Linked DNA regions of Tribolium castaneum. Each later gene encodes a partner of the first gene's protein in a complex. Links are inferred from orthologs where the notes say so. Each region holds a gene or a part of one and is shown on either strand. Other genes may lie near its edges.

What was found.
Region 2: mitochondrial import inner membrane translocase subunit TIM50-C (region 1) and mitochondrial import inner membrane translocase subunit Tim23 share a complex: the UniProt entries of both Homo sapiens proteins name them as parts of the TIM23 complex. The link is inferred for Tribolium castaneum from reciprocal best matches to the Homo sapiens genes TIMM50 and TIMM23.

The regions. Positions count from the first base shown.
Region 1 is NC_087399.1:10,216,149-10,221,067, forward strand, and holds mitochondrial import inner membrane translocase subunit TIM50-C, read right to left. Parts: upstream 2,825-4,919; 5' UTR 2,651-2,824; coding exon 1,529-2,650; 3' UTR 1,468-1,528; downstream 1-1,467. UniProt on the Homo sapiens protein: Essential component of the TIM23 complex, a complex that mediates the translocation of transit peptide-containing proteins across the mitochondrial inner membrane. Has some phosphatase activity in vitro; however such activity may not be relevant in vivo.
Region 2 is NC_087394.1:25,694,246-25,699,258, reverse strand, and holds mitochondrial import inner membrane translocase subunit Tim23, read left to right. Parts: upstream 1-2,590; 5' UTR 2,591-2,713; coding exon 2,714-2,777; intron 2,778-2,828; coding exon 2,829-3,069; intron 3,070-3,115; coding exon 3,116-3,397; intron 3,398-3,443; coding exon of another isoform or gene 3,444-3,453; exon of another isoform or gene 3,454-3,715; intron 3,716-3,745; coding exon 3,746-3,755; 3' UTR 3,756-3,873; downstream 3,874-5,013. Other genes in the region: centrosomal protein 43, read right to left, coding at 1-754, 806-853, 905-985. UniProt on the Homo sapiens protein: Essential component of the TIM23 complex, a complex that mediates the translocation of transit peptide-containing proteins across the mitochondrial inner membrane.

The DNA.
Region 1 (4,919 bases):
GTCTATTCTGTCGCTCCTGTATACAGACTGTTCCGTTATTATTGTTACAAATTTTAACTGGTGATAGAACATTCAATTTTAAGACAAAAATTTCCTATGAACATGTATCGGAAAATACTTCGTAAGGGAGCTACACGCCCTAAACAGGGTGCTTCTTTTAGTGAGTTTTTCTCAATATTTCAGAAACTATTTTAGATAAAATTGCAAAATTTAGTACAGTCAATAATCTTTATACGCCTAATCGAATTCGAGAATCAAATGTAGATATTTTTAATCAGGGGCGTCCTAAACTGGAGGGGTGTAGAGTAAAAACTACCCAAACTATTTTGGCTTAAGTTTTTTGACACTGTGACAAAATCATAGATCATAAATTTCATGGTTTCTTACATAAAAATGGTTTCTTTATTATATTAATTTATATTAAGAAAACCTCACTACAAGAAGCAGCCCTTTCAGGGGGTGTAGCTCCCTTACGAAGTAGTTTTCGATACATGTTTCTAAGAAACTTTTGTCTTAAAATTTAATGTTCTATCACTCGTTTAAATTTGTAACAATAAAAACGAAACATCCTGTATTTGCCTAAGAAACAGATAAAATTTGGGAAACAATAATCGCTTTGTTCGCAGTAGCGATCCTGAACTAGTTCAAACATCAATCGCAGCTAATACTTATTTTTAAATAACATTAAAAAAATATGAAATAGTTATTAACGATTAGCTCTCTCATTGAAAGTACAAAGTCTGTTGAAAAGAAACTAAATAAATAAAATGCATAAGGCATTTTTGACAAATGTTCGACATTTTTCAATACGAAACGTCAGATTATTCTTAATAGTATTTGTTCAAACTTAACTTTAAATTTTTTGGGTTTATTAAATTACTTTGAACACACTGGAAAACAAATAACTGCTTTCTCTTTTAATTCTCCAAATATGATTTCGAAATCTTTAAAACAAAGAAAGTTACCGATTTTTTAAGCAAAACCAAAATTTTTCAAGGAATCTTAAATATCCCGAAAACGGTTAAAGTCAGGTATAGGAAAAGCTGATAAAAACGGCCTTTAAATAACTCAACTAATCCAAAAACGCAGTGAAAAACAGCTTTTAAAATAAGAAAGTTGATACCAACTTCTGGTATAACCGGAAGTGCCGGCATCTTAAAAATATTTTTATTGAAAAGAACTCAACCGATTATGGTTGAGTACCAACTTCCAGATGAATATCTTTATTAGAACTTTCAGTACTTCTAATGTGGAGTTTAGACGGAACATAGTGTATATCCCATTTCAGTTCATAGTAGAATTTTGCAACAGTACATTTAAATTTTTCGAAGTGATATAAAGCACAAATTGAGAGTATCATAAGAAAAGAGTTCTGTGTTAAATTAAATACCAACGACAAATTTTGGGCCAAGAATTTTTTTGTCTTGATCAATAGGGTTTTATGTATAAGAAAAATAAAACACCCGCTTTATTTACATATCAAACTTTAATTTTTACCGAAATAATTACAAGCCTTAAATTAATCTAACTAGAACTGCTTCCTTGAGAAAATCGTCGGCACCCACGGTCTCGGTTTAGCTTCCTGTTCTTTTTTCTTCGCCCCTTGTGCCTCCAAAAGCTCCATCAACTTTTTCTGTTTCTCTCGAAATGCTTCAATCGGATCGTCATATTTGCTATAATACAGTAAAACCTCTCTAACATCTTCAATATTATTATCAACTATCGTCTTCAAAAAGATCGATAAATCAACCAAAGACAAGTCCTCATCAGCCCCTTCCCATCTCCTGACTTTCAAAAGATTCTCCGGATGGAACTGCACACTATTCGGATTCCAATCCACTACAATAACTTTACTCAAATCCCGGTTCAATTTGTCCAGACTTTTGACATGGTGCCCGCCTACGAAGTGCGTCGCGTCTCTCACCAGCTTGTACGAGATGAGGTTTTTGGGGTCCATGGCCTCAATCAGGGGAAAAACCGTCATTCCTTGCTCCGCCGTGTAGACAACAATTTCGAAATGTCCATGAAGAGACTCAAGAAAGTAATCTAAACCTGGCCTCTTCTTGAACCTCCAACCAGTGTTGTAAGTCCAATCGGGGTGCACCAGAACATCGGTCAGTTCCAAGACAAGAGTATATTTAGGTTGTAAATAGGGGTACTGAAGGGGGTCTGGCAATAACTTGTCCCTGGAGGGCTCCTTAATCAACCTCCTGTAATTATCCAACTCCCGGTACGTTCTCATTAAATACTGGCGCCACAGCGGCAAGTGCGACAAGTCGTCTTCGATCACGCGCCCCTCTCTGTCTCTTTCCGGAGCCCCCAAGACAAAAATCAAGTACGAACCCAAACACGTGAAAGACACTCCGAAGAAGATTAGTGTGAGTTTCATTGTTCGCCATGACGCCTCTCGCTGTTTTCTTGCTTCTTCTTCCTCCGAATTTGCTTTCTCGTTCGTTTCTTTGGCTATGAGACTACCGAGGGGCGACTTGACCGGCTGCTTTTTTGCATCTTCGGCGTAATTCCGATGTTGAATTATGACTAGTGGTGACTTGAACAGCACTCGGGGGCCGTTCCGTGTGAGAATTAGGGAGGTTTTGTGTCGAAATAAATTACTAAACACGTTCAAAGTTCTAAAAGTAGATCTGTACATTTTGAGGTTAGGATGCAACTGTCAAACACGTTGCGGTTCAAATCGTGGGGAAAAATTCCACCGGGGGTTTTGTTACATAAAATGATAAAAACCTGCACGATGGGACTTTGCACTGGGGCTACGGAACCATTTATAATTTTTTTGGCATGGTTGAATTAAACGAAATTGTGTTGGTAGCAGTGGCACGTAGTGTGTTTTTTGTCTTTTTGAATTGAATTCAATTAAAAAAAATTCAAAAATAGTCATTTTCGATGTATTTAATTTAATTTCCTGGAAAAAGCGACTAATTTGGAAAATTAAAAAAGACAAAATTGTTTATGTATACATTTTCCAAAAAAATCTCACTTGTGAAATGAGCTACAGACTGATCCAGAAATACTGAGTCTGTTGGCAACACATTTGGAAGTATTTGTACTCATAAATTGCAACATTGCAACCGAATTCGATTTTTTTTGACAATTATTTGACGTACAACCCTACAAGATTGTTGTTAACTAGAAGAGTACTCCATTGGTATCCTTAAAAATTTAAGTCCAGTGTTGCCAACAGACTCAGTATTTCTGGATCAGTCTGTAAATCTAAAGAAAGAGATCGGTATGTTATTTTCTATTTTCGACGTTTATTGTAAACTCTTCGACGATTTAAAATTTGTCTACCTTTTTGTAAGTAGATTTTATTTTTCTACCAAAAATAAATAAAAACATAAATATTAATCAAAAAGTTTGGAAATATATTGCAAACACCCTGTATAATTTAGATCAATCCAACTTGATTAGTGCATCTAGCCTCAGTTAGACCTTGTTTAAGACCTACATACTAATAAAGTCATCAAGAAAGCATCATTTCTTATTTATTATTAATTTTTTGCAATACCTACTGTTTTGTAAGTCATCGTTCACTGACAAATATCTTTCATTGTAATCGGCACTTTTTAGTCTGCTGTAAGTTTACATCGTTACCTTGCAGTAACATTTTACTTACAGTCCGTGGGCGGTAAGTAAATGTTACATACCAACGTATGTCACATGAAAATGTTTTCCTGAAATACGTCCTACAGCATAAATAACGCCTACAAAATATCAAAAGTCCAACTTTAATATTAAATGAGATATAGAAGACGAAGCTGTGCGGGATCACCATGTATACGTGATACGTACAGTCACGATTAAAAAGAATGACACCCCTAAAAGCGTAGCCACAAATCTTTTGATATGATATGGTTAATGTGTATGTTTGGCTAGTTTATAAACCAACTGCATATTGTGCAAATTACTTGGACAGTTTTGTAAACCAAGCTGTTTGTCCAAATTCATGATTTAAAAGATTTTAGTCGTACTTTGACTATCCGGTACGGTTGATAATGGTGTCATTCTTTTTAATCGTGTTTGTGTTAATAAAAAAAACATCAAGATCACAATAATCGAAAATTTATATTAAACGTAAAATTGTTTTAGGATCCCAAATTAGCCTTCACTTTTCTCTTACGATAAGTAGTTTTAGAGATATTAGATAAAATATGGTCGAGCCTGAGAGAAAGGGAAGCAATATGTTAAGGGTTCTTTTCGTTACGTATCGTCTTAAATTATTGTAGCAACATTTTGTTTGTACACCATAAAGTTTTACAACAGATAATGGTGTTTAGCATAAGCAACCCTCACAATAAGCTGTCTTGACAAGGGTGACCCGAAAATATTTACGATACCGATTAGTTCCTCTGAAAGAGTACAACTTGTCTGCAATAAATCACACAATAAGCTTGCCTCAGTGATTAGCTTGAAGGGTCCGTGCGGTTTGGGGTAATCATAATAAAAATTTAATGGTGTACAAAGAAAACGTTGCTATAGTGGCGGTCAGCTCGATTTGCGTGTGCGTCATCAATTTCATTTTTTCATTACCAACATAAAGCTATAAAAAATTATCAAAAATAATGCAAATTTAAACAGCTAAGGGCTATCTAAGGGTGGTATCCTTGAACATTAATTTACATGTGCACTTCGACAACACCGTCAAGTGCCACGAATTTGTCAAACTGACATTGACAGTAAATTATAGACGTCATCGCATGGTTGTCGAAAGTGTTATCGGTGTTAATCGCAAGTATTTTCTGTTCGTTTATTGTGTTTTGTGATTTGCGTTTCGTTAGGTTTTTGATTCTGCGTTTATTAGTTCTTGTTTTGTGAATCTGTATTTTTTGTAACAACTCATAATTTAAACACTTCGTAACCTCAAAAAATATTTGACAGTTTTTGACCGCTATGCCCCTGCTATG
Region 2 (5,013 bases), on another chromosome or scaffold:
ACGGCTTGCCCCCGGATAACTCGATTTCGCTCCCGGACATGAAATCCTCCTCGTAGTCGTCTTTAATTTCGAAATCGTACTCTTTGCTCGACTTTTTGCTATACAGTGAAGGCAGTAGATCAGTTCTTGATTTGTTTAAAGGTGGCAACTCGAGTTTTGTTTTAAGCTTGTCACTTTTCTTTGACTTATCTTCAGATTTTGGACTGGTGTCCTGATCCGTTGTACTATCTTCATTCGTTGATTTGTCACAGCTGCCGTTTTCTTCTTCTATGGAACTTGTTCCATTGAACGTATCATCATTTTCAGCGTCTCGCTTAATGTACGTGGAATCTAAATTATCGTTTTTATTGTTATTGATATGTGTGGAGTGCTCGCTTAAATTATGGCTGTTTTTGTTACTAAGGATGGAGTTTTCAGCTTCAGAGTCGTGTCCGTTAGTTTCCTTCAGTTCGTCGTTAACATTCAAATTGATTTTCAGCGTTTTTGACTTGATTTGAGCAACTTTAAGCAAGTGTTGGAGGACAGGACCGGAAAAACTGTCTGACGGTTTTAAGCCCAAATCTTCGATGATTTTGTCGCGTCCTTCGTACTTGTAAAAGCTGCCAACGTATGATTCAGGCTCGTAAACAGACGCAGTGAAATCGAGGTCAAAATATTCAAGGAACTCTCTAACGAGACAAAACATGAGCTGACCTTCTGGCACTTCTAAGTATGACTTGATTTTTGTGTTTAACAATGGCTGTTGCTTACTTATCTGAAACAAACGATATATTATCGTGTGAGACTGTTGGTTTCTTGGAATTACTTTAGAATCTTCGTCTAAGGCAAGAAATAGGTTCGCTCTCAACTGTGCCTGAAATAAGACTAATAAAGAAGAGGAAACAAATTTGGCATTGTTAAATACTCGTATTTTCGGGAGGCAACCGTTTAATTCGAGGGTTTGAGCCACCATGTCTCGCAATTCCACTTCTTCCTCAACTGACATTTTCCCACTTAAACACACGGTTTGCAACGAATTGTCAATCACAGCACAAACAACTGAGCAATTTCATTAAAACAACAGAAAACAAGACCTAAATGAAAAAAAATTGCGTTCCCTCAACCCCCATTTCAATCACCTGTCACTTGTCAAACGTCATTTTTAAACCAGCGGACACCAAACAAACACCTCAGCTCAATTTTTTTATTATTAAATTTACAAGTCAGTGATGTGCCGAATGTGATAGCCGTCTTGACGGCGACCGCCTTATGCTCTTCAAGACCGAAAAAATCGTATTCGGGGCTACCCCCAAGTTCAAGAATTCGACCAAAATCCTACAACATGTTGACGATTACTGGTTTGTTGATATTTCAGGTTTCAGGAAAAAATACCTGAAAACTTTTACATCCATGTGAACACCTGCCAATTCGCCTAATAATTGGAGCTCATCTTGGTGGGGCTGCAGCCGCCCGGAAAAATTTGAAGATGTCTCGGTGTGCATTTTGAAACTTGACACGCTTATGCCAAATAGCGGCTTTTTATCCGACAAATTATTAGTTGAACTCATCAAAAATTCGATCAGTTAAATGTTTTCGGTGTTATAGCCCCTTACACCAACCGCCAAACTGTCGCATTTTGACACATGTCAACAAATTTTAAATACCTGATTGAAAATTAAAAATAGCTCGATAAAGTCTCGCCATAATTACAAGATAATTTGTGATTGATTTACGTCCAAAGGTCCAAACGTTCAAAAAGTTCAATTAATTTTTACAATTTCGTGACAATGCTTACGTCCTGTGATTAGTTTGCCGAAATTATTTTAACTTAAATTTTTACTAAGTGGCCGCAATATTAAAAATCTAAATGTTGGAAGTACAAACAGCAAAGATTCGTGTACGAAAATTCAGCTTTGCAGTACAAGATCTGTCCTGTTTTTACTCTCAAGAAAAGTGCACTCATTGAACAAGTCATAGACAGAAACGCACAAGAAAGACGTAACCGTAAATTATTAAAAACGCACATCCTCATTACAAAAAATGCACGGAATAGTAATATATTCGATATTTGTTTAAAATTGTAAGAATATAAAAAAATCATTAACCAGTATTTTATTTGTTACTAAGTTTTAGATAATATGCCACTGTGATAGAGATTGCACCAATTCAAATATAAGTTTACGTGTATTACATTTCTAACAGTCACCTGTCAAGCACATATTACATACTTGCATGTAATGCCTCACAAAATAAATTTGTGCTGTAGTATAAATTGAGTTCCTATATTAAATTATAAACGATTAAATGCTCTTTTTTTATTAAAATGTTAGTCATGAGAAGTCCATTTTTAATAGAGGTAATTTAATAATAGTAGACTAAAAATTTCTGCTCCTAAAAATCCGACAAATATGTTTCTGTTTATGACATTTCTAGATTTAACCGATTCTACCAAAGAAACAATGATTGCGTCCTGTGAGTAGGTTTCCAAAATTATTTTACCCCAAATTTCAACTAAACGGCCGTAATTAAAAAAAAAACACGAATACTGCAAGTATGAGCAACAAAAAGTAACCATTTTATGCGCGAAAATTTTTCTTTATCCCCTCAAGATCCGTCCTGTATTTACCCCTTCCGACATTTTCTCGACCTTCGTGTCGCATGTGTGTGTGTGTAACAATCAAATTACCAAATTTCGGCCAAAAACTCGAAAATTTCCTGTGTCAGTGCTCAAAAAATGTCAGCCTTGAATGATACCGACATTTATTCCCAAAATTACAACACCACAAGCGGCAATTTAGGTAAAAACCCCGACATAACCTCAAACCCCGATTATATAAACCCAATTCCAGGATCTTACAAACAATTCTCGTCACCATACCTCAACTTTGACCCCAGTTACCTGCCTCAAGCCCAACCCGAGTTCATCTTCCTCGAAGGGGCTAGCAAACAACGGGGGCGATTCGAGCTAGCCTTTGGCCAAATCGGGGGCTCTTGCATGATTGGGGCCTCGGTGGGGGGCGCCTCCGGGTTTTATAACGGCTTGAAAGCGACCACTTTGGCAGGACAAACGGGGAAATTAAGACGGACACAGTGAGTTTCTTCAATTGGTAGTGTTTTTCACTGATTGTAATTGTAGGTTATTGAATCATGTTATGAAACAAGGCAGTGCCACAGCCAACACGTTCGGGTCCATAGCTGTGATTTATTCAGCGTTTGGCGTTTTCCTCTCGTGGGCACGGGGGGCTGATGACGATCTTAACACTATTATTGCAGCCACGGCAACTGGTTGTTTGTACAAGTCCACAGCTGGCTTAAGGAAATGTGGCTTAGGTGGGGCTGTGGGATTAGGAGCCTCTGTTTTGTACGCCCTCTGGAATTCGCGAGATAAATTCACACAGTTGAGGCCACTCAATCCGGCGTAAGATTCTGTTTGTTTTAGAAACGAATTTTAACATAGGTTTTAGGTTAACTTAAGTACTGATTGGCTAGACAACTAAATTATTTTAACAATTTCCATAGATAGTACAATTTATCTACATAGTAGAGCGCTTGTGTTACCAATAAATTGTCATTATTTAGATTGGACAAGCCAATTTTTGGTAGGATATAGAAAGTTATAAAAACGATTTTTACCACTTTTTTTATACTTTCTATCAACTTATCGTTTGTATATAATTTGTGCTGTGATCTACCATTGTTACATATGTAATAAAAATTGCAACTATTCTTTTTCGAAGCTTATTTTTAATTCATTATTTTTCTGCAGGCAACGGTAGCGAGCCAGGAAACCGTTTTAACCCTCTGGTTTTAACCAAGACTGTAGATAAGTGTAAATACATTTCCAAATTATGCGAAAATATTGTAAGTTATTTAATAAATTTATTCACGTTTTAAGTAGCTTGAATTATTTGCGTTAACAGTGGCCGGCATTTACAAAATTTCAGCGATTTCTTAACATCAAAAATTAAAAAAAAGAGTAGTTTTAGTTTTTTACTACTATAATAAATTTGTTTTAAAACGCTGATTACGGCGAAACTAAATCAGCTACGAGATAGTCTTGTTCTATTGTAAAGAATACATCAAAATCTATTACGTAGGAGGGTTGCATGTTTTAATCTCCCAGTTCTACAGGTGCTCAAAAACTGGCGCACCAACTCAGTGGTACGTTATTGAGAAGCAAGTGCAGATTACGGGAAAAATGTTGAAAAAATTCCCAAAGTTATATTTTAAAAAATCTGGAGCTACAAACTTATTGTGTTAACTTCTTTAGTTTTCATTATTTTTTTATGTTTTTATGTTTCATACCAGGTAATCGTTCCGTAACAAAACGATGAATAATTATTTTTAAATTTACTATCAGATTTTAGCAGTTTTTTTAATTTAAAAAAATTAAAATTCATCCAAAAATCACAATGTGTAGATGTGCCAACACTGGGAATTATTTCCTAGGAAACCGTTTCAAAAATAATTTATTTTTATTGTTGCTCAAATTCTATTGCGATCATGACTATTAGACAACGTTGCCACATATCATTTATATAAAATCCATTATTTATCAATAACTTTAATACAAAGAATTTTTTTACTATTTTTACCTTTATATGTTACCAATTCTCTACCACACACCATTGAGTTGGTGCGCCAGTTTTTGAGCACGCTGTATAATTTCAACAAATAAAAAAATGAAAATATCAAACTAAAAGTTTTAGTTCTTGGTAGTTCAGACTTAGATTTTAATATTGTTACGGTATAACAGTTGTTTCAATTGAGCGCGCAAAGTTCTATAAAAAGCGTTAAAAACACTCCTACGGTGGAATTTGAAAGAATATACAACTGGTGCAACACACACTGTCGCGGTGTATTGTTAGTTGCCTGCCACACAAAAAGGAGTGTCCAACTTAATTACAAATTCGTTGAACTTTTACGTCTCTATGAATGGACCGGCAATTAAAACTACTACAACTACTCATCTGGCATCAAATATGTTACAAAAATGTGTCTTTAGCTAAAGCAATCGCCCAAAATAAATAATTT